Linked DNA regions of Astyanax mexicanus. The protein of the gene in region 2 interacts with the protein of the main gene of each other region in a biochemical or structural test. Links are inferred from orthologs where the notes say so. Each region holds a gene or a part of one and is shown on either strand. Other genes may lie near its edges.

Evidence for each region.
Region 1: the proteins of synphilin-1 (region 2) and siah1 form a complex in vitro, tested with the Homo sapiens proteins (2 studies listed by BioGRID, with this or other methods). The link is inferred for Astyanax mexicanus from reciprocal best matches to the Homo sapiens genes SNCAIP and SIAH1.
Region 3: of the proteins of synphilin-1 (region 2) and prkn, one has a biochemical effect on the other in vitro, tested with the Homo sapiens proteins (3 studies listed by BioGRID). The link is inferred for Astyanax mexicanus from reciprocal best matches to the Homo sapiens genes SNCAIP and PRKN.

Annotation. Positions count from the first base shown.
Region 1 is NC_064416.1:23,271,668-23,279,704, forward strand, and holds the start of siah1 (E3 ubiquitin-protein ligase Siah1), read left to right. Parts: upstream 1-4,959; 5' UTR 4,960-5,853; coding exon 5,854-5,950; intron 5,951-7,019; coding exon 7,020-7,082; intron 7,083-8,037. UniProt on the Homo sapiens protein: E3 ubiquitin-protein ligase that mediates ubiquitination and subsequent proteasomal degradation of target proteins.
Region 2 is NC_064419.1:36,793,606-36,800,798, reverse strand, and holds the start of synphilin-1, read left to right. Parts: upstream 1-4,130; 5' UTR 4,131-4,289; intron 4,290-7,193. Other genes in the region: protein-lysine 6-oxidase, read left to right, coding at 979-985. UniProt on the Homo sapiens protein: Isoform 2 inhibits the ubiquitin ligase activity of SIAH1 and inhibits proteasomal degradation of target proteins. Isoform 2 inhibits autoubiquitination and proteasomal degradation of SIAH1, and thereby increases cellular levels of SIAH.
Region 3 is NC_064414.1:19,273,440-19,280,832, forward strand, and holds the start of prkn (E3 ubiquitin-protein ligase parkin), read left to right. Parts: upstream 1-4,287; 5' UTR 4,288-4,852; coding exon 4,853-4,859; intron 4,860-7,393. UniProt on the Homo sapiens protein: Functions within a multiprotein E3 ubiquitin ligase complex, catalyzing the covalent attachment of ubiquitin moieties onto substrate proteins. Substrates include SYT11 and VDAC1.

The DNA.
Region 1 (8,037 bases), on a different chromosome or scaffold from region 2:
GATGTAGATGCCTCGTTGCCGGCTGTTTCCAGGATAGTTGATACATGAGACCCTCAGAAGAGATTGAGGAGTATTGACCTGGACCCTTACCACAACTACTACATCAATATCTGTGGCCTCTTTCTCCTGTAACAGAGTTTCAGTTTAGCAAGTAACATGGTAGCAGAAGTCTGTGTAAACCAGAATAATAAACAAGCTCATGTTGGTGGTTAGAAACCTACAGGTAAGCTTTGTTAATGCTTGTTATCAAGGCGCATTATTGTAGGTTTATTCCACTTTTTAAGTGGGAAGTAACATAGGGCTCAACAGTAGGGCCTAAGTTTCTTGTATATGATCACAATATATATATATATTTTTATTTCAGCCCGTACAATTTAATTCTGATATCTTTATGACCAACATAAAAGCCACATAAAACTACCAGGAATGCCCACAAACGATGTCTGTACCTACAAAATTATGATAAATGAATTTGGATGTCTGTATTGTGTAATTATTTTACATCTGTACATGAAAAATAACATGAATCGTTATAGTGCATTGATTATCCAATATTTGTTTATCTTCCATTTGTCCCCCATGCTTCCAAAACCATGCTGGGGAGATATTCAGCCCTGTCATATCTAAACTCTGGAATTATGTCTGGTATGTAGAGATTACTCAATGAGCAATTTAGACCTAATACTGATTACATATTGATGTAATCAAATGTATGAAGTTATAAACACAATGATGACATGTATCTTGCTTTTTGGAGTTTGTATGGCTGTTGGGGGTGTGCTATATCATACAGTGCACAATAATATCAGCAACATATTTGAAATGATTAAATCACATCAGGATATTCGTGTCTTTCTTGAAAGAAGTGTTTTTTGTGGTTGTTTTCTATTTAACCTATATACTTTTAATTGTTTGCACTTTAAATGCATGCACTTTTGTTATTACATTTATTTTTTGATTTTTTACACTTATCATATTATACAAAATTATGAAACTGCAATATTTTAGCAAATTAAAACTAGTAGGTTTGTAACAGTAGTATATTTTCGAATTAAATGCAATGCTTTGCAATGCAATGCTTGTCTCAGGAATATTATTATTGTTGATGAATATTGTGATCTATTAGTTTATGGCCATATTTCCCACCTCTAATGGCTGTATTAGCTATATAAACACAAATATGGTTTGGACCATGTATTATGGTTTGCCAGTATTTAGCATCAAGGTTTAAATTGAGTGCAAAAAAAACTGCATGCAGACAAACTGCAGTATTCATTTCTAAGAGTAAAATTAGTCTCTGTTAATTGGGTTTGGTGCAGTTTGTGAAACGTTTGAATAAGAGTCATTTAAGTATTGTGAGGTGTGCTCATTTATGCTTGATCACCCTATTTTAGGCTTTTTAGCACAGTGTTGTGGCTAGTCAGAAATGTGTATTTGTACAGGGTTGTGAATGTAAAAGGGGTTAGTTTGTTCTTTGTGGCAAAAGGGCAGAAAAAGGCCATCTGTTTTGATGGCTTGGTCCACAACCATTTTGTCACTTGAAAACAATGGCATTGATTAGGGGCTTTAATGTGAAAGTGTTTGCTCTGTCACCAAGGCGTGTTCTCCAGTAGTGATTAGTGAAAGAACTTTCCACTGGGAACCTGTTTTGCATCCTGCTGCTGACTGAAGTCCAGCTCATGCGTCCTGCTTCTGCCAAGAGTTTGAGCGACTCCATGTAAATGTTGTGCCAGGAAAATCACACATAGATGTAAATGCTGTCCTGTGTCCTTTTGGCCTTTTTTTGTTTATTGTGTAGCGTGTTAAGTTGTTTCAAGCTAATGTAACTTGCTCTGTATGTCAAATCCTTTTTTTTTTTTTTTTTGTTCAATTTAATCGATAGTGGTAGTGGGCTTACACTTCTGCCCACAGCACAGCAGACTGTGGTTCGATTCCCTGCTTGAGCCAGAACACCACACTTCACTAATAAGCCCCTGGGCTTTGATAAATCAATAATACTTTCAGTTCATTTCTTTGAGACATCCCCCTGCCTTTTCAGTTCAAGGGGAAGACTACAACTGGATTCACTTACACAGTTAAATAGTTAAATAAGTCATAACCTTAGTCTGCAAGATGCACAAATGTAATTATGAAAGATTATTGATTAATCAGTATTTTTGTGGCAATACCAATCGTCTTTCAGTTCAGTCCGTCAAATCCTGATACCAATTGAGGGGGAATGCAGGATTTCACATTTTACCTAGACACACTTAATAATAGTGCATCATTGTGCCGGGCTTCTGTAATGTTCTGTGCACTGCCTCTTAAAAAGACATGGTTTAATTTTGGCATCAACTACTTATAAAAAGCTGTAGAAATCCCATGCAGAACTATATTGTGCAGAACTGCACTGTGGAGCTTAATATGAAAAAACAACCAGAAACATTTTTGCTAAAATCTCAATTACTTTGGACTAAATTCCTTTAGTTTGGTGATACTTTGCTGCTGTAGTATTGGTTGTGGTTAAATGTCATCTGCACAGTTTTCTGTTTTGTGTGATTAGCAGTGTTTGGTTAGTTCTACGATCGTGTGATGCCCACCATATGAGTATTCGTGATGTACACTGTGTGTATCCGGTTAGTGGTTTTAAGTGTTTTCTCTGCTTCTTACATGAGGAATGTTAGTTTATCACGCTCTACAAATGTGAGTTTAAGTCAGTTTAAGGGTAGTCAGTTGTAAAAACATTTATAGACTATATATCAACTATATATTGTTTTGTGAATTCTGAGTTTCTCTTCTCTACTTGAATGGAAGAAGTGTTGAGTGGAATTTAGAGTTGTTTATGACATTTATTCCAGTATTCTTTCAGTTTATTTGTTGAAAATGTGCTCCTGGTTTTCTGCTCTGGTTTCATTGATGAAAAGGTGAGTCTGTAAAAGCCATGAGTCATGCTCAGTAATGAAAAGGGTCTGTATTTACTCTGTATATATTTAAGCTTCCTGCTGTTGGATCAGCTCGTAGATGAGTAATCTTGCTCTCAGGAATTTATTAAATGTGTTTCTCTGTTGTGTTTCTAGCGAGATTATTGTGGGTTTTGTTTTTGCGACCTGGTTGAATGAGCTGCGGTGGCACGATGCCTTTGCATCTACCCTGTGTAAAGGTGAAACTTGAAACACAAAGGGTAATCACATGGCCATTGACTTTTCAAGAGAGCAATCTGTTTTGTTAGGCTTGCTGTGTCATTAAGTCTTAGGTAGAGCCAAAACATCATTGTTGTATCAGTTCTTGCGCTCATTGGGTGGCTGAGAAGGATGAGTGAATTTTCTCTTTTGAAAGTCTTCATAAAGGCTATCCCCCCTGCCCTTTTTGTGAATTTGATCTGAGCACATGTACATTATGTGAAGCTACTGAGAAAGTTCAGTAGAATGATGATAAGCATTAGCATAAGCTTTAGCAGATGAAATATCAGACCTGAGGTTTCTTCTGTTGGGTATTTGGATAGTACCAGGTGGGCTCAAATGTCAAATAAGCCAATCAAAGCCCTTAAATGTCTGCTGCTGTTTTTACTTCACTGTACAAGGCATCTGTGGTATTAGCTGGTGCTCTATATGCTGTAAGGTCACTTTACTTATTGTACTTACGCTAACTGTAAGTGTTTGGTATACAACATGCTTGTGGTGAATTGAAGATGTCTTAAAGGCACTTGAAGTGGTTGACTTACTTCATTCACACAACATTTTTGATCAGTGTAAAAAAGACAACATAAAACATAGATATGGTTGTCTAGTTTGTTGTGGGTTTGTGGTTTGTTTGTCTGTGGCTAGGGGTTAATGTAAGCACGAAAATCATGACATAAAAGCTTACAAGCAAAAACTGTGACGGATTGCAAGATTAGTTCATCAGTTGCAGCAACAGGTATGTCAGACTATGCCATTCTGTCTAAAAAAAGTTATTGGTTTGGAATATGAGGGAAGTGAAACCAGTCAAACATAGATCTGTTTTTAGCTTTAAACTATTTTTGCCTTCTCCTGTAAAGAGTTTTCATTGTCTGGGTAATTGCAAGGTATTTCTGTTGGCCTATGATACACCAAATATTTGTGAACTTCCCTTTTAAATGAAATCAGCAAATATCTCTCAGTTCCTCACATTGCATGCGCTTACAATTTGTCTAGTCCCTGTAAGAAATTACTGCCAATATAATAGGGCTCCTTGGAGGTGGACCTGTTTGTACCTTGCTCAAAGCCAGGCATTGGCAAGAGGGTTATAAAGCACCCCAATCATGTAGCGCTGTGGAGCAGTGAAAATGTTTTTTCAGGAATTATGTCATTCTATCCAGTACTTTTGGTGATTTTGGGTGCATTTGGTATGTGGTGTTCATCAAACATCCTGCTACAGTTACTTAACAGACAGGAATTAACCCTAGTCTTGGACTAAACAGCATTTTGAGTTAAGATTTTCCATCAAAAAGAAAGTCTGGTTTTTATTTGAAAAACTGAACCTCTAAAATTAGCAGTGCTCTTGTATCTGAATTAAATCCAGTTGTCACAGGGATGCTCCAGAATCTGGAGTAGAAAGGCTTTCCTGGACAGTAGAAGTTACAGTAAATACTCAAACACAAGCAGGATAAAGTCTCAGGATTTCTTTTTTGTACTAAAGTACTTAATATAAAAAAAACATGAATGAACATGTGTCCCAATACTGTCATCCATGTATTAAATCTTTTTTTTAGATAATTTCCTGCTTGATAAAGCAATACAAATTCTTGTTACAAGGCTGTTCGCTTTGAAGTTTTTGTTTTGCAAATTAGGAGTAAGTGAAACTTGTCGTTCCCTTACTGCTCTCCTGCTGTGCCCTCTTCTGTAGGTTTTGGTGTAGTGCTGCTGTATTGTAATGTCTCTTTGTCTGAACCGCATGGTTGGAGGAGGAGGAGCTGTGTGTAATCTGACACGAGGCAGACCCAAGAGCAGGCCCTACTCCTTCTCTTCAGGAGAGAGGGTGAGAGACACTCGCACACAGGGGGAGTGAGCCAGCATGCTGACTTCAGCCTGACATTCGACTCCTGAGCCCACAGGCTGCAGTGGCAAAAGTGCAGGCAGGCAGCACTCTGCGTTCTTTCGCTCTCTCTGATTCTTTGCTGAGAGTAGTTTGCTCTGTTTGACCTTAGGGAGTTTGCTCTGCTCTTCTCTTCTGTATCGCTTCTGGAGTTCTCACTGGATTCTTCAGCAGGCTGTGGGAGTGGTCCCTCACACTGGCGCTGGAATGCATTCGTAGACAAGGGGGGAAACTTGCCTCTGCGTTCTTGTTGTTTTTCTCTCTTCCTCTCATTTTCCCTTTTTCTCCCTCTCTCCTTGGGCTCCATCTCAAAGGAACTTCCTGACTACTACTTGAAGCTGGACACACTTGTGTAACATTCATGGATTACAGTGCCTATTTTTTGGGGTTTTTGTTTTTTGAATATTAATCTTTTTTTTTTTTTTTTCTACCCCTTGTGTGTGTGTGTGTGTGTATGTGAGTGTGTTTCCTGGGTTGCACTCTAAAGAGGATTTTTTTTCTCACCCCCTCTGTAAGACTCCTGTAAGTCTCCTGCACAGTGGTCAGTGTACAATCACTTGGATTATTTGTGTGCCTGTGAGTATATGAGAGAAACTGTGTAAGTGGTCAGTCAGGCCTCTGTGCACCCTCTGTCCTTCATGTGTTCAGGGGGTCTCCATGAGTGGACCTAACACCTAACAACCATTTGGAGGAGTATTTTCAGCTGGCCTTGTGTTGGGAGGGAGAGAGGAAGCAGTTTCAGAGACTGGACTGAAGGGGCCCTCTGTTATGGGCTGTTTTGTTTCTATGGAAGGAGCGCAATGAAGAGTCCCTCAGCTCCCCATGTCGCCCACTGTTAGGCTGCAGCCCGTCTACTCATGGAAGGGGGTTCTCAAGCTCTTCACATGCATAGCTGCCCGAACGGCCAGCAAGCCTAAAGGTAACACAAGCCCACCGCTGTACTTGCTGACTCCTATCTCTCCACCTGCGTCACATAGCCTGTTTGGAATGTTGTCAGTTCATGCATCTCTCACGCACACAGCCTACACACCAGACGTGGGCTTTGTGTGCGTATATGAATAGGGTGAAACCCCTTCACAGGAGCTTTGTTCGCTTCTGACCTCTGTTTAAATTCCATGATTGTTGTGTGTATGTGTGAGTGTGTGCACGAGACTGAGAGACGCTGTAGAGGACAAAGCATGGAAGTTTTCTGTTTTGAAGAAAACACTCTTATTTGTGTTTGGCCCAAGATTCCAGACTTAGTTCTGCAGTGTGTGTGTGTGTATATATGTGTATATGTTTGTGGTACTTGGGTAGGAAGGGAGGTACAGCTTGGAAGAAAACATGAGCGTCCTGTAAAGTATGGGTTTATAAATGTGGCATTATCCTGTGTGTGTGTTTTGTAAATGTGTGTTTAATAGTAAACCGTTAAATGTCTTGTCAGGCTATACAGTCTGGACAGGCTGGGGCACGCCTGGCCACCCAGGCAACACTGACTCAAAGACTGGACTGGAGTATTGCATGCTTCTCTGTGAACCGCAGAGTGCAGTCATCTCCACTGGTTGTTTTCCTTCACTTTGCTACAGTATGCTTTATCTCAGGGCTGTAGATTTAAAACATACACAAAGCATTAAACTGCAGCATCAACAATCAGAGAACAGTTATATATCTGAAGTTATAAGCTGTGAAAGTTGGTCATCAGTGTACTTTCCATTCCTTGTGGTCATTTTGATATTGTGAGTTGACCACAATAGCTTAAACTTTGATTTGTTAAAAGTCTGATTTCAGTTCTGTTTGTAAGGTCTTGAAATATTAAAGCTGGGCACTGATCTAAGGAATGGAAAATAGGCAGGGAAGAAATCCATGTTAAGGCCCTAACCCATATTTTCCTGTGAATTAGTGTTTATACTACAAAGGGAGGATGTGGGTGTTTTTTTGCATAGCTTTAGGTACAGACAAAAAAACTAGTTTGACCCTCAAATGAGCTCTGTGACTTTTTCTATCACTAGATGGTACACTAGAGCACCATACACTAGAGCACCAGCATCTCAGACCAAAACAAGTATCTCTGGGTAAGAAAAAGTTAGCATCTCTGTTGTGATTCCTGTATTTGTCTTGACTGCTTCAGTGCAGCTGCTGTCCTGTTCTAACTCTGCTGAACCCAGTTGTTACCATTGCTGGTGGCATCGCTACTCCAACCTTGATGAGCTTGGCTTTCTGCATTGCTACAAACTTTCTTTAAACCATGTGGACCCTGGTTGCTGTTTATGGTAACATTGAAGTTCTAGTACTGCTATGCCCAGCTGTTAGTGTCACGGCTAACCCTCGCCTACCCTACTGAGCTAGGCTGTTAGCATCACAACTAACCTGTGCATTCTGTCTGCTGTTCTTGGTAGCATTGCAGCTCTAGCCCTGCTGAGCCTGGCTGTTATCATTGCAGCTAATCTGCCCCAGACATTTGGATTCCTACATATTGTTTGAGATGGAATATTTGCAGGAATATTTGGACAATAGCTTCACCTAAGTGTTCAGTACTAAACTCTGCTAGGGGCGTGCCATATCATATTGTACACAAATATTGCTAACATTTTTGAATATTGTGAACGATATTATATCCTGAAATATTGTGCCATATCACCCACCCCTTAGTTTTTGCATCAGGGTACTATTTGTTTTTGCTGTTTTTAGCAAAAGTATAATTCACTCTTCTGATTTGGAGTGCATTATTACTATCATGACATTTTGGATAATTTCTTCTGTTACAAATCTGATAAAATTCATTTTATTTTGTGGTGTTCCATATATGGTATAGTGAAGTTAAATTTTCTTTATGTTGCAGTAGTGTATTTATGAATTGATGTATATTGTTTTTTATTCAATGTTTTGTCATATTGTTGAGTACAGTTTTCGCAAAAATACCATGAAATATCATATGTTAGGGCCCTAGTGTATGCGGTTGAACAGAAACACCATTGAGATTTGTTGTTTGCTGCTATATTAATGTTTAAAATGTCATATTTTGAACTT
Region 2 (7,193 bases):
ACCCAGCATATTTTTATTATCTCATTAGCCATGTGCATGCAAATGCATCGATTGCATTACTGACAAAATCAGATTCTTCTGCAGAAATAAGATTATTCAGTGTATGTAAGTGCACTCAATGGAATTTACAATACAACATAGTTGCAAAACCAGATAGCTGAATAAATATCAGTTAGGTAATTTCTACATTTATGTTATACAGACAGAAGCCTAACATAAGGGCTCTGAGTGATCCACTATGATCAAGAGATCGCCAGTTCGAATCCTGTTCATGTAGCTTGCCATCGGTTACCGGAGTCCTGAGAGAGCACAATTGGCCTTGCTCTCTTTCTGGGTGGGTAGATGAAGCTCTCTCCCAACATCACTCCAAAGGCGTCTGTGAGCTGATGTATCAGAACTGAGTCGCTGCGCTTTCCTCCGAGTGCGCTGTGATGCTACTTGGCAATTCTGCATCAGCAGCAGTTTGAAAAGAGGTGGTGGCTGACTTTATATGTATCAGAGGAGGCATGTGCTAGTCTTCACCCTCCTGGTGTTGGTGCATCACTAGTGATAGGTGGAGTCCCAATGAGTGGGTTGGGTAATTGGCTGTGGAAATTGGGGAGAAAAAAGAAATAATACAGAAGCCTAAAATAAGACATATTTTAGGCTTCTGTATACTTTTTGGGTTTGAAACTAGTTTTGAATTAGTAGATCAACTTTTATTTTACATTGATTTTGCCTTATTTTGTAAAGTCACTTGTATTTTATTGGACAATGAAAATATACAGCATGTACTGCCATTGTTTTTTTGTGGAGAAAAAAGAAAGAAAAGGTTTTCTTTTAAACAAGGTGCGGTAGTGCCCTCTACTGTATTATACTAGAAATGCACAAACCGTACAGTTCAATGTATCTAAACAATTATCTAAATTATTATCCAATAAATCATCAAAATTAAGAAATTATCTAAATCAATATATCTATATCATTTTTCCTCTTCAGGTACTGATTCCATACGGATGCCCATCAGAAGTATCCACAGGAGAGGATGCCTTAAAGGAAAGGCAGTGGGAGAAATGCAGCCTACCTAAGATTGCCTCAACTATTTTGAATCAGTCCAATTCTACCAGCATTCTTACTTTAATATTGTGTTTAAATACATTGTAAACATTTAAATACATTGCAACACTTCGACAATAATTATGACTGTTTTAATACCACTTTCATTGCATGTGCTGCATGAAGTGCCTTAGTTGAAACTAATATCTGGTTTTTACAGATGGCATTTAATACCCTCTTGTTGCTGTAGAATAAAAGAAAAAAAAAAAAAACGGTGACATATTAACTAAAGCCTACTATATAACACTGACAAAACTGACAAATTATAAACATAGCATTACAGATGTCATATGCCGCCACAAACTACTTTTGTTTTGACGATATACATATTTTAATTAGATACACAATATTATCATCATTTTAAGATTATTTTTGTCCACCGGAATAAGGATAATATAATAGAATAATAACAATATTAAGATAAATTTTTGATTTTTGGTCATGTCCAAATATTGAATGATAAATCAATTATATAATAATTATCGAGACAGACCTACTGCCATGCATTGCCATGTCATATGGATTTCTTGAATAAAACAGTGGCATGCTACCATGGATTAATGAGTTAATATCATGTCACTGTTATATTACTAAACGTATTAATCTGTCTTGACAAAACGTTACAGCATATGACATATGTCCTGATATTGTTATGAATGGTCTGGCTATGTCAGTAATAGGTAGCAGGCTTTAAGTGAAGTGTTGCTAAGTAAACATAAGCTTTTTAGTGTTAGTGTGCTAATTGTCGCCATAAAGTTCTTAGACCTTTTTATTTCTTTTTTGCATTTTTTTTTCATGAGTAATTTTGGCTCTGTGTAATCCATAGACACTTTCTGTAAACTCTTTCGGTGTGAATTTTTGAAACTTTGAGTGATCATACATTTAGACCCATGTTCAAAAGCAGTGCTGTTTACTTTTTTTAAAAGATGTACATTACCTGTCATATATGCTTAGATTTTATATTTCTAATAAGAAATGGTGCTACTTACATTATTAATCACTGTAGTTCTGAGAGCCAAATATTAATTGAATAAAGACCATTGAATAAAATGAAAAAGATATAGAGATTTCCACACTCTATGGAATTCGTGGTTTATCAAATATAGTGTGTATAAAGGTTATTTACCTGTTGGGTGTTTTGCTTTAGCTAGTAAACACATAGCAACATCATAGCAACCAGCTCAGAACCACTTGGCAACACCATAGCAACCATCTGGGATACCTTAACGATGGATATTAACCATGTTTACTGAGCAACTATCCTGTGTTTTTTTCAGGAAATGCAGTTCATCATTTAGGCAAAGGTTTTTTGGACTCCAGCATTTAGCCAAAGCTTGTAATATAAAAGCTGGATAATGTCTGGTAGGCCAATTCACAGGTTACTTAGTATTTAGGATACAACTGCACTATAAATAAAAACTATTAAACAACTTTTAGAAAAAAGGGTTTAAACATTTTCTCAGTGAAGATGTATCAATATGACAAAAACTGTGTTATTGGGAACATACCAAACTAGCATGCACTTTGAACAATATCCACTAGAGTGCAGTACTGTAAAACAATATTTCTCAACCCCAGCCCTGGATGCACTCTGCACATTTTAGTGCTTTTCTGTGTACTGTTTATCCTGTATACAAACCCTCCATATATATCTTCAAATGAATTAGTATGAAGACACAATACATTGACCAGTACTACCAACTATGCCCACTGATAAAATGCAAACCTGCATCCTGGATTGCTGCAAAACTCAGATAGCAATTATCTGTGAGGTGAATATGTAAATTCTAAGAGGTTTGGTCATGTGGCCAATAAAATGCTTCCTCTGCTGCCCTACAAAAAAAGAATTCTCTCAGAGGTAGTGTACCTCTTGGTGAGAAATTGTTGACTCACTTAATTTGCCTAGAGGGGGCACATTATGGCACTGAGGGAAACAGGATGGTTGTTGAGAAATTTCCTGACATCTATAGGTGACCTATCCATCAGCCAGCCACAATCACTTTTTAGAATAGAAAAATACATTAAAACAATTAAAGGACATGTATGGAATTACATATCAACAAAAAAGTGTTTGTCCTCCACAATCCTCTGACCTAAACCTGATCATCTGAGATGGATGATTAGGGATGAGCTGGAGCTTCACAGCATGAAGGTAAAGTAGGAATTATTGTTTAGCACCTCCAGGAACTCTTTCAAGATGCTGGGAAACCTATCCCAGATGACTCTACCTTATGAAGACACTGATATTAAAATACCAAGAATATAAAGTATACAACATATTCTGCTTTGTTTAAACCTTTTTGTTGTACGATATAATTCTGTATGTGCTCCATAGCTTTAATGCCTTCACTATTAAATTTACATTGTAAAAAATCCTAAAAAAAAAAAAAGAAAAAAAATAAAAACACATTGAAAGAGAAGAGGAGTGTGTAAACTCTCATAGCTGGTACTGTACCTCAACTGTTCCTCAACTGTACTATACCTATTGTGGAGGTAACATCTAGAGGCTTTATTACCAATAGGGTTATATTAAATTGAGCCTCTTTTTAATTCTACAGTTTTTTTGTTTCCACCATAAATGCATTCTTTCACTCCTTTAATATTGTAATTACATATTATCATTACATTCATGCACATAAAGTTCTCTCTTTTTGGTGCCACTATTTCTTTTGTAATTTCTTTTTATTGTAGTTTTGTACATAATTATTTATTGCTCTATATTTACTAGCTATATGACTGTGTTTTGTATGAAGTGTATGAAGTGAAGCTTATTATTATTACCCTGTAATTGTAATTAATAGGCATTGGCCTGCTGGAGAGACTGGAAAACACATTGGACATGTTTTTCCAATTAACTTTCACAAGACACAAATTTTAAAAACAGCCAAAGCGTTAAATCACGGATTTGATGTCTGACAGCAGATGAAGAACTGTCAAGATGATAGAGGATGGTGGATGGACAGTGGAGTTTGGATCAGTGTGTGTGTGTGTGTGTGTGTGTGTGTGTGCGTGTGTGTGTACAGTATAACGGTGTCTGCAGTAGTAATGTATATCCGGTTTGGTAGGAATAAGCAGGAATAACGGAGCGCTGCTGCCTCCTCTCCTCCGTCTCACATTCCTGCTAACGCCAACGGACTGTTTCCCTAAAGGAACAGCTGGAGAACCGCGGGGGGAACACAGCACTAATATACAAGGTACTGCGGGCGAATATATGCTGTTTATATTAGTGAGGATGGAGGAGAATGGAGGGAAGGAGTCCGGGGCTGGGGCTGTATTTTTCCAGGCTTTAGCTCCTGGGTGAGAGTCGGTTCAGCTGGTCCAGCCCTCCGCTAAAGCTAACAGCTCCACCACAAACAATAGGGAGAGCCTCGCACGGCGGGGGCAGATGTTTTTTGGGCTGTTTTCTTCTTAGGATATCTTAGGACACGTTCACTGGGAAATGAGGAAAACATTTACAAAGTCTCTACTTTTTAAGCCTACTTAAATTAGGCAAGAGTCTGTTATTATCAGCCGTGTTGTTCATTTTTCCCATGGCTAGCTTTAGTTAGCTAATCTACGGTATATATAAATTGGCCATATATACTAAGCTAAGCTAAGCTAGCTAGGTTGCTACGTTGCTACTGATCCCTGGTTGCTAGGATGGGATGGCTAGCCGCTAGTTAGCTTAGCCACATTTAAAATAACAGGAGCTAGATAGTGTAGGCAACGTTATATATACATACATATAGCTAACGTAGGTTAGCAAGCTATCTAACTAACTAACCAACAGTTTCTCTGATTTTGCTATTTATAGGTATATGTTTGAGTAAAATAAACATTGTTGTTTTCTTCTATAAACTACTTACAACCTTTCTCCCAAATTCCAAATAAAAATATTGTCGTTTGGAGCATTTATTTGCAGAAAATGAGACATGGCTGAAATAAAAAAGGTGCAAAGACCTTTCAGACCTCAAACAATGCAACAAAAAGCAAGTTCATATTCATATACATAAAGTTTTAAGATTTCAGAAATCAATATTTGGTGGAACAACCCTGGTTTTTAATCACAGTTTTCATGCATATTGGCATTGTCTTCTCCACCAGTCTTTCACGCTGCTTTTGGATAACTTGGTGCCACTCCTGGTGCAAAACTTCAAGCAGTTCTGCTTGGTTTGATGGCTTGTGATCATTTATCGTCCTCTTGCTTATATTTTAGAGGTTTTCAATTTGGTAAAATTAAAGAAACTCATAATGTCTAAGTGGTCTCATATTTTTTTCCAGAGCTGTATTTATATGTGGGTCCTGTCCAGCGTTAATAATTCATAAACTGTCGTTTCCAGTTTTACAGTGCTGACCTGAAGCTAGCTAACCTAACTAGGTTAAATAACTACTGTAGATGTTGGCTTCAGTCATACATCCAGTGATTTCAGTTAGCTAGCTAACAACTAATTAGCTATCTATAATTAAGTAGTTAATTAGCCAGTTAATTAGTTATCTTAGCTAATTAGCTCAACAGATGCCAATACCATAACACTATGATATGTACACTATTCTGTAAAAACAGTGGTGCATAAAATATTTTAAACCATTTGCTGTAGTTTAGATATAGTGTTCAATATTTCTGCATATTTCGTCAGAATTCTACACAAATCCTAATGACCTATTGGAGAAAACAAAAAACGGCCTGTCATAATGTGGCCTGTGTTTTTATGGACAATGCCTTGTCGCAGAAATGATTGAGACCATTGTATATCACTTGTATAACAATAATATAAAATCACAATAATGTAATGGCACTCTTTTGAAGCATGATGAACTTTTGATTATTAATAATGTCCAGGCAACGACACTTGCTCTTTTATGGGGCTCACTAAGGAAAGAAAACCCAATATTGTTGTAATCAGTATCTGTTGCGACTCCCTTGTGCAGCAGTAACTGCAGCCAAACATTTCCGCTAACTGTTGATTAGTCCTGCATATCAGTAACCCATTTCCTCCTATGAACTTCTGGCTCCATGTCCTTCAACAACATTTCTATTGGATTAAGGTCAGGGCTTCAAATGATCCATTATTTTGTGCAACAACTTGTGTATTTAGGGTCGTTGTCTTGCTGCATGACCCACTTTCTCTTTAGGTTTAGCTCACCTGTCCTACAAACTAAATAGCCCTATATCCTAACCTGATCTCTAATCAGCTCAAAGGTGTTCATGACAAGTCAGCCTGTGCCTGTGATCTTCAGGTAATCTGTGTCTGTTGGCAGACCATGTTGTTTGCTCTTCTTGCTCTTAAAAGCTCTCAGTTCTGAGGGTGCCTTCACTTTTTTGTACTTCCCCTTTAAGGTTATAACCGTACTACATTACATTTTTTTTACATTACATTACATTACATTTGGCAGACGCTTTTGTCCAAAGCGACTTACAATATTGAAGTGCAAATAATAGAAGAGGTTAAGTACAAAAATAATAGAAGTTAAAAATAAAGCATCTATAGATAGGGCCTTAAGGAGGTCAGAGGGAAATAATGGGATAGAGGAGTAGAGAAGAGGAAGAAGGAGATGAGGTTAGAATTAGTTAGTTTGTTAGAGGTGTTAGGAGAGTAAGTGCTCTTTGAAGAGCTCTGTCTTCAGGAGTTTCTTAAAGATAGCGAGAGATTCTCCTGATCTGGTAGTGGAAGGTAGTTTGTTCCACCATTGGGGAACTCTGTATGAGAACAGTCTGGATTGCTTTGTGTGAGTGTTTGGCAAAGCGAGGCGATGTTCATTGGAGGAGCGCAGCGGCCGGGAGGTAGCGTAAGCCTTCAGGAGCGAGTGCAGGTAGGAAGGAGCCTGTACTGTCATCACCTTGTAGGCGATTGTAAGCACTTTGAATTTGATGCGAGCAGCAACCGGTAGCCAGTGGAGCTCATTGAGCAGCGGAGTGACATGTGCCCGTTTTGGTTGGTTGAAGACCAAACGTGCTGCTGCATTCTGAATCATCTGTAGTGGTTTTACTACACAGGCTGGGAGGCCAGTTAGTACGGCATTGCAGTAGTCGAGGCGTGAGATTACCACAGCTTGTACCAGGAGTTGGGTGGCCTGTTGCGTCAGAAACGGTCGAATTTTTCCGATGTTGTAAAGTGCAA
Region 3 (7,393 bases), on a different chromosome or scaffold from region 2:
GTATCTGACATTTGAAATCAGAATAACACAATAATAATAATAATAATGCATACTGAAATTCTTAAAATCCGGCAGCACCCTTTTACAGCAAAATGATAATGTTCTATCAGGCTGACATTTCTACACCCACACTGAATCTACACAGGTTTTATATAAAGGTGACACCCTGTGGGACAGGCCAGAGCAAAAGGGGCAAATTAACCTAATTTTTGCTAAATTACTTTGGTCACTTTTTCCATTTGCTTTACCCAGAAAGGAAAATATCACTCCCAGAACATGGAGCGTAGGATCAACAATAAGACTAAATCACGCTCCATTGTTCTTAAAGTTATCTGTTTGTTTTTTTTTCAAAGCTATCAGTTATTTCTGGAAAAGCAAACGTCTGAAATTACAGTTACTCCCTGAAGGGAAAAGGCAAAAAGGGCCAAATATTATAATCTGCCATCTCGCTCATTAATATGCAAATTGAATCGTGTTTAGTCAATCATTTTACGGTGCAACTTAGGTTGTAATATGCCACATCATATTTGAAGAGATGCAGAAAACATTACATTGATGCTGTTTCAATTTGAATATTAATGAGGTTTACATCATTTACCGTTTCCACAGATTTAACAGGTCCATGCATTTATTAAAGGCTGCAGAGCCGACGTCTCCGCAAGACACACGCGCAAACAGGGCAAGCTGTTCTGGGACAGATCTAATCCTGCTTTCACGTGTTAAATCGCTTCATCTCTGAATGTGCTATTAAAATGTAAACACAGATCCTGCACACTGAAATCTGTATGACACTGTGAACCTTCTTTAATAAGATCTGGTAAGCCTAAAGCCTCAAAATGTGGGGTTTGCATTTAACAATGCACTGTGCACAATATACTTTTCTCTAAAGCATAAAAACCCACAGTGCTCACTATAATGTCTAAGGACCTGTATAGATTATATCTCACTGGTTTTATTTCCTGGATTGCAGGAAATAAAAAAATAATAAAATAAAAGTATTAAAAAATACCATCACAAAGAGTCCAACAATAAAAAGTATTATTGGGAAAATTCAGTATATTATCTATAGATCTTAGATAAAGAAACAGCCTTTTTAGGTACAGTCTAGCACATGTGCCATAGCCACCTGGCAAGTGATAAGCTTGTTTACTCAATTTCCCAGCTGTCTTCTAGAGCAACAGTTAGTCATCATTATCTATATTGTATATATGTCAAAAACAAATTTATTTCTTTATATTTTTATATTTTATAAGTAGACCACACTACACAACTTGGTGGGGAGAGTTAAGGGCTGCTCACTCAGTTTACACTCGGCTAGGTCATCAAAATCCGATTACATATTTACTCACTAAATATTAGAACATTTCACAATTAAAAGGCTTCCTGTCATTTAAATGGCACTTAAATTCTACGTTAAACAGTTTCTATAATTTTCAAGCAATAGAGAAATCTAGAAAATGACTTTTTAAGGTATGGGAATGAAAACCTAATGTGTGGGAATGAGATCCTAATGTGTGGAACGAGAAAATAAAGTCATAGCCAGGACTTAATAAGGCGTGGGAACGAGTTAATTCAATCGTAGCCATTAAGGCGTGGCCACAAGATCCTTTTGTTCCTAAACAAAGCAAGCAACTCTCAGGGGTTGTGCTCAATATAACTGCCCAAGGAAGGTAAACAGGTCTGAATACTTTCTGCGTCTGAGCCAATCAGTTTTTAGTATGAGAATTTAATGTGTCTTTTACTTAGATTTATGACATATCTCACTGCAAGAGACTCCAAAATACCACCATAATTAATTCCAAAATGAAAATGAAGAGAAACTTTTTTTTTTTTTTTTTTTTTACAAAATATTATACCTGGATTGGAGCTTTGAAGTAATTTTCAGTCTTCTTCATGGACATTAATTTAGTGAAATGAAAGCTGTATTATTTTCTGGCTAAGACTTAATTATCTCATTCCCACACCTAATAAGTTGTGGCCACACCATAGGATCTCATTCTCTTGGCTTAATAAGTCATAGCCATGCATTTTTGACACCATTATGACACCTTAGGGGTTCCGTGAAATCAACAATACTGCACTGTTCTTAAAACTGAACGTTCTACACTTGAAGTAAAGGAATCTGATGTAGTATATAAACAAATGTGTTCATTTACAATGTACTGTATACATGAGTCTATATACTGAAAACTGAGTAAAAAGTGAGGAAAAAAAATATTCCCAATTATTATTATTGTCAAGAAAGTGTTTAATCATTGGGGAAGCACCGATGTGGGAATTCTGGGCTCTATGCCGATATCCGATATCATACATGTAGATATCTGCCGATGCCAACGCCGATATACACATTTATAACTTACAGAGAGACTAAACACCCAGTATATTTTTATATCTTTAAAAGTAATAAAAAAATCAATGAATTTTAAAGTAGAGCAGCCAGTGCCGGCAAACTGTAGTAGTATGGCTAGCGTTGTTCGACACTAATCAGCCAATACTAATGTTTATATAAAAAAAAAACATTTATTATTGGCAGATACTTATATAATCTCAATATCATCATGCATCCTTATTATTTACACATGAAAAGTAGTATTGCACAATGTTCTGTGATATACTGTACACTCATCATCAAAAAAACTGTTGCAACCAGAGGGAATGAGTGGTCAGGTATGAACGTGGAAGGTAGTCAAGCAAGACAGTCATGGAGTGATTCAGAATGAAATCAACATCTCCATAAAAGTTGTCAGCAGAGGAAAGCATAAAGTGCTGTGGGATTTCATGGGAAAACACTGCACTGACTTGATAAAACACAGTGGATCAACACCAGCAGATGACATGTCTCTCCAAACCATCACTGATCATCAGTAAATTTTGCAATTAATTTGGAAATAAAGGAAGCAGAGTCTGGAGGAAGAGTGGAGAGACACAGTCCAAGCTGCTTGAGGTCTAGTGTGAAGTTTCTACAATCAGTGATGGTTTGGAGAGACATGTCATCTGCTGGTGTTGGTCCACTGTTTTACCATGAAATCCCACAGCACTTCATGCTTTCCTCTGCTGACAACTTTTATGGAGATGTGGATTTCATTTTCCAGCAGGACATGCCATACTGCCCACACTGCCAAAAGTACCAATTGGTCTTATATAATATTCTTATTTTCTTAACACTGATTTTGGGGGTTTCATTGGCTGTAGTCAACAATAAAAGTAATAAACCATTAAAATAGATCACTCTGTGTGTAATACATCTATATAATAGGAGTTTCACATTTTGAACAGAATTACTAAAAATAAATTATCTTTTCAATAATATTCTAATTTTTTGAGATATATATATTACAGCTCTGGAAAAAAATAAGAGACCACTTAAAAATAATGAGTTTCTTTGATTTTTACCAAAATTAAAACCTCTGGAATATAATCAAGAGGAAGATGGATGATCACAAGCCATCAAACCAAGCTAAACTAAGAGTGGCATATCCAAAAGCAGTGTGTAAGACTGGTGGAGGAGAACATGCTGAGATGCATGAAAACTATGATTAAAAACCAGGGTTATTCCACAAAATATTGATTTCTGAACTTTTAAAACTTCATGAATATGAACTTGTTTTCTTTACATTGTTTTAAGGTCTTAAAACTTATTTTTGGTTATTTCAGCCATTTCTCATTTTCTCCTCTAAATAAATAAATAAATGCTCTAACTGACAATTTTTTTATTTGGAATTTGGGATAAATGTTGTGCGTAGTTAATCGCATAAAACAATGATGTTCATTTCACTCAACCATATACCTATAAATAGCAAAATCTGAGAAAATGAACTGAAGTGGTCTCTTTTTTTTCTTTTTTTCCAGAGCTGTATATATTCAATCCCTGTCTTTAATAAAAATGTAATATAACAGTATGAATGGGATTTTTTACAAATGTGCTATTTTGCACTGTGTATATTTATTCTGCCACTGGTTAAATAATAAATTACTATTAAATATATTAACAAGGCAAAATATAGCTTAGCTTAGCTGTATCTGTTTCTGTGTGTTTTAAGCTAACGCTGCTGCTGCTGCTGAAGCGGTTCACTGAGCATCACAGCATCAGTGGAAACCCCACCAAAACAGCAGCCGAACACACACACACCTCCTCCCCCTGCATCAGTGAAAACACACACACGCAACACACAAGCTCTCATTCAGCAGCTTTACTGTCATTTCTAACGTGTAAAATCTCTGTACAGCGCTAACACACGGCTCTGAGCGCGCCTGTGAGGGTGTGAATACTCTGCAGTCTTACATAACTATCAACAGCGTCACTCCGCGCCAGCTGACCCGCTAAACAGTCGCTCCGCGGGGCTTCATGGCCGAACTGAACCGCACCAACACCGGACACTCCCTGCATCATTCCCCGGGTACTGGACGCGATTAAAACCGGAGCTTCAGTCACAAAATCCACATAAATAAGAGGTTAAACAGCGCGTTAGCACCATCTGTTCGCTGCACAGTTCTCCATATCCACAGTTCCGTCAACACACCGAGCGCTGAACGGCACTAGCGGAAATGTAGTGTCTCTCCACATAACTCCCTCTCTTATTTACTTTGTTTAACCTCAATAAATGCTTCTATTTAATCACAAAACATAGAAAACAATAGGTAATTTATATGCTATGACTTGGGATACCTATATTTGCGTGTAAGTCACTTGATCTGTCAGAGTAAACTATGTTCTGGACTCCATTTCCCAGACTCCCCCGCGGTCTCGTACACGCTCAGTATCATGGTTGAACAGTGTTGTGAATAAAGTCACCCTGTGCTGGAGTTGAGCTGAGCGGAATGAGACTCTGCTGCTGCTGAACGAGTCCTCATAATGATCGGTAAGTCATAACTGAAATTCAGCGTGTTTGTGTTTTGTGAGCGCGGTCGGCTGTGTGTCCCGCGCGCTGGAGTTTTATAAAGCTGTGTTTGTGTTGTGTTTGTAGCACAGCCGCTGCCCGGTCGAGTCTATAAACAAAGTGAAGTTAATTATTTTACTACAGCCAGGTAGGATTATCGTGTTCAGGTCAGGACAGGAATGCTAAAACAGCGTTTACTGATAAAACGCCCCCAAAAGTCAGTATAAACACTGTAGGTGCGCTGGGTCGTTGACATTTGGAGCCCGAGTCTCGCGAGACTTTGAGGAAAGACTTTGAACCAAAGGAGAAAAAGCTTATGCTCTTTATGCTTATTTTTACCTGCTTAATCTGTATTTCAGTACATTTTATAAAAAACAACAACTATACTTTATTTGGCTGTGCTAATTGTGTACTAGTGATGTAACTTACTAAATAAAAATATATGCTTAGTATTATTTTATGAAACTGTGCTTTTTTTATTAAAATTAATAAAATTAATAAACATTTTTTATAAAACTGCTTTTACTTAATTTGTTCTCTGAGCCTAAATTTCTGCAACAAAACTGTACTTCAGTGAAATTTGCTACTAAAACATTAATTTTGTGTTGACAAATTAAAAACTCATACTGAACTTTTATGTGATAAAATTGTCCTTAAAAAGTTTACATTGTTTTGCACTATAAGGCGCACTTAAAATTTTTCAATTTCCCCAAAATCGTCAGCGCAACTTATACTTTGTGCACCTTATGTATGAAATTTTCAGTCAGGTTGTAAGGAGCAGTAAAGCCACCCCGCTGAAGCACAGCTTTATACAGGAGTTTTAGGCTGTGACCGAAATGGCTCACTATTTACTAGTTAGGGCACTATTGAGTGTATCAGCCATTTTTCTTAAATCGTAAGGGGGAATTCGAACGTAATTTTGAGGGCACTAAAAACTCCCATAATGCATCTTGATTTATAGTAAACATCGCTTCTTACTAAGCGAGTTAAATGTGTCCAAAAATGCATTGCGGGTCTCGATACTAAGCAACAGACAGCCGAAGAAACTGAGAGGACAGCGAGCCACCACGGTTGCCAGATTGTTACAGTGGGATTCAGATAAAACAAATTCACTGGGTAAAACGTGTTTTAAATCCGCCAAAATACTGAGAAAACCACCCAAACAGCTGATGTTCTTCATATCAACAATATAACAGGGTTTATTCCAACATGATCTTAAATAAAATACCTGAGGTCTCACTTATTACAAAAAAAAAAAAACGATATTTAACTGAGTTTATCTGCATGTTTGTATTCTGTGTTTTGTGCCTTGTATCATTGGACACACGAACCAAAAAAAGAAGTATAGTACATAAAAATAAGCTTGCAAGCAATGAAAGAAGTAAATACTCACATATAATAACAAGCATAAACACAGCTTCAAATCAGCAGGACTAAAAGCTCTGTCTGTCTCTGCCAGGTTAGATTTTTAACTACAGCACTGGTGAGTTCAATTCCCAAACTCTTAGTACAGCATTTCCTCCATAGAATTTCAGACACAACTCGACCTTTGGCATGAAACCACCCAATCTGGCAACACCCGAGCCGATGTATTCTGTTAATTTCAGGTTTTCTTCATGTAATTCAATAATGTGAGGATTATCTTTTAAACAGTGTAAATATACAGGCAGAGAAATGACTTCATGATCAGCTCAGAGCTTCACTAACTTTAATTCATAGATCAGTTCAGTGTGTTTATGGAGTTTTAAACATGACTCAACCCTCTCTCACCTGTGTGTGTGTTTATGCGACCGGTGCTGGGGCATGATAATAAGTTAGTGTCCGAATTCACTCCTGTTTTACCACTACTTAGTGAACTACATAGTGTCTCCCTAAATAGCGCAACACTAATGAGGGAGTAGGGAGCCATTTCGGTCACAGCCTTAGTTTAGTTCTCTGGAGCAGTATTAGCATTAGCCGCTACACTTGCTGAGTGCTAGCTCTTTGGCCGTTCAGAGTTGAGTATTATCGGCCTGTAGCCTGCTGCTAACGCTGGATACCACTGCTGGAGCAGCATCAGCATTACCTGCGAACCACAGCTCTAGCACTTTTGCCGTTCAGATGGGAGTAAACTGGACTGTAGCCTGCACGTTAACCGTATTAAAACAAACTACGTGGAACAAACCGCTAGCTGATATCGCCCTGTCTTACTGGAGCACTCTGGGTTCCTCAGTGTAGCGCTGTCAGGTGGCATTAGCCGCTAACCGCTAATTCTCCAGCTTTTGTGGAAACCTGGAAATTTAAGCTTACTGTAAATAAACGGAACCACTTTACTCACCCAAATAAACAGTTTTTAGCAGAGAAATTTGTTTAGATTAACATGCAGCACTTGTTTGCTTGAATTTTTTTTTCCTTTTTAATTAGTTTTGTTTACTTAGCTTAGCTTTACAGGTCTCACCTCCCAGTGGGCAGACCTGCCGTTTTCAAATAATGCGGCTCCGACGTTTCCGGTTGTATTGTTTACATTCGCCTGTATA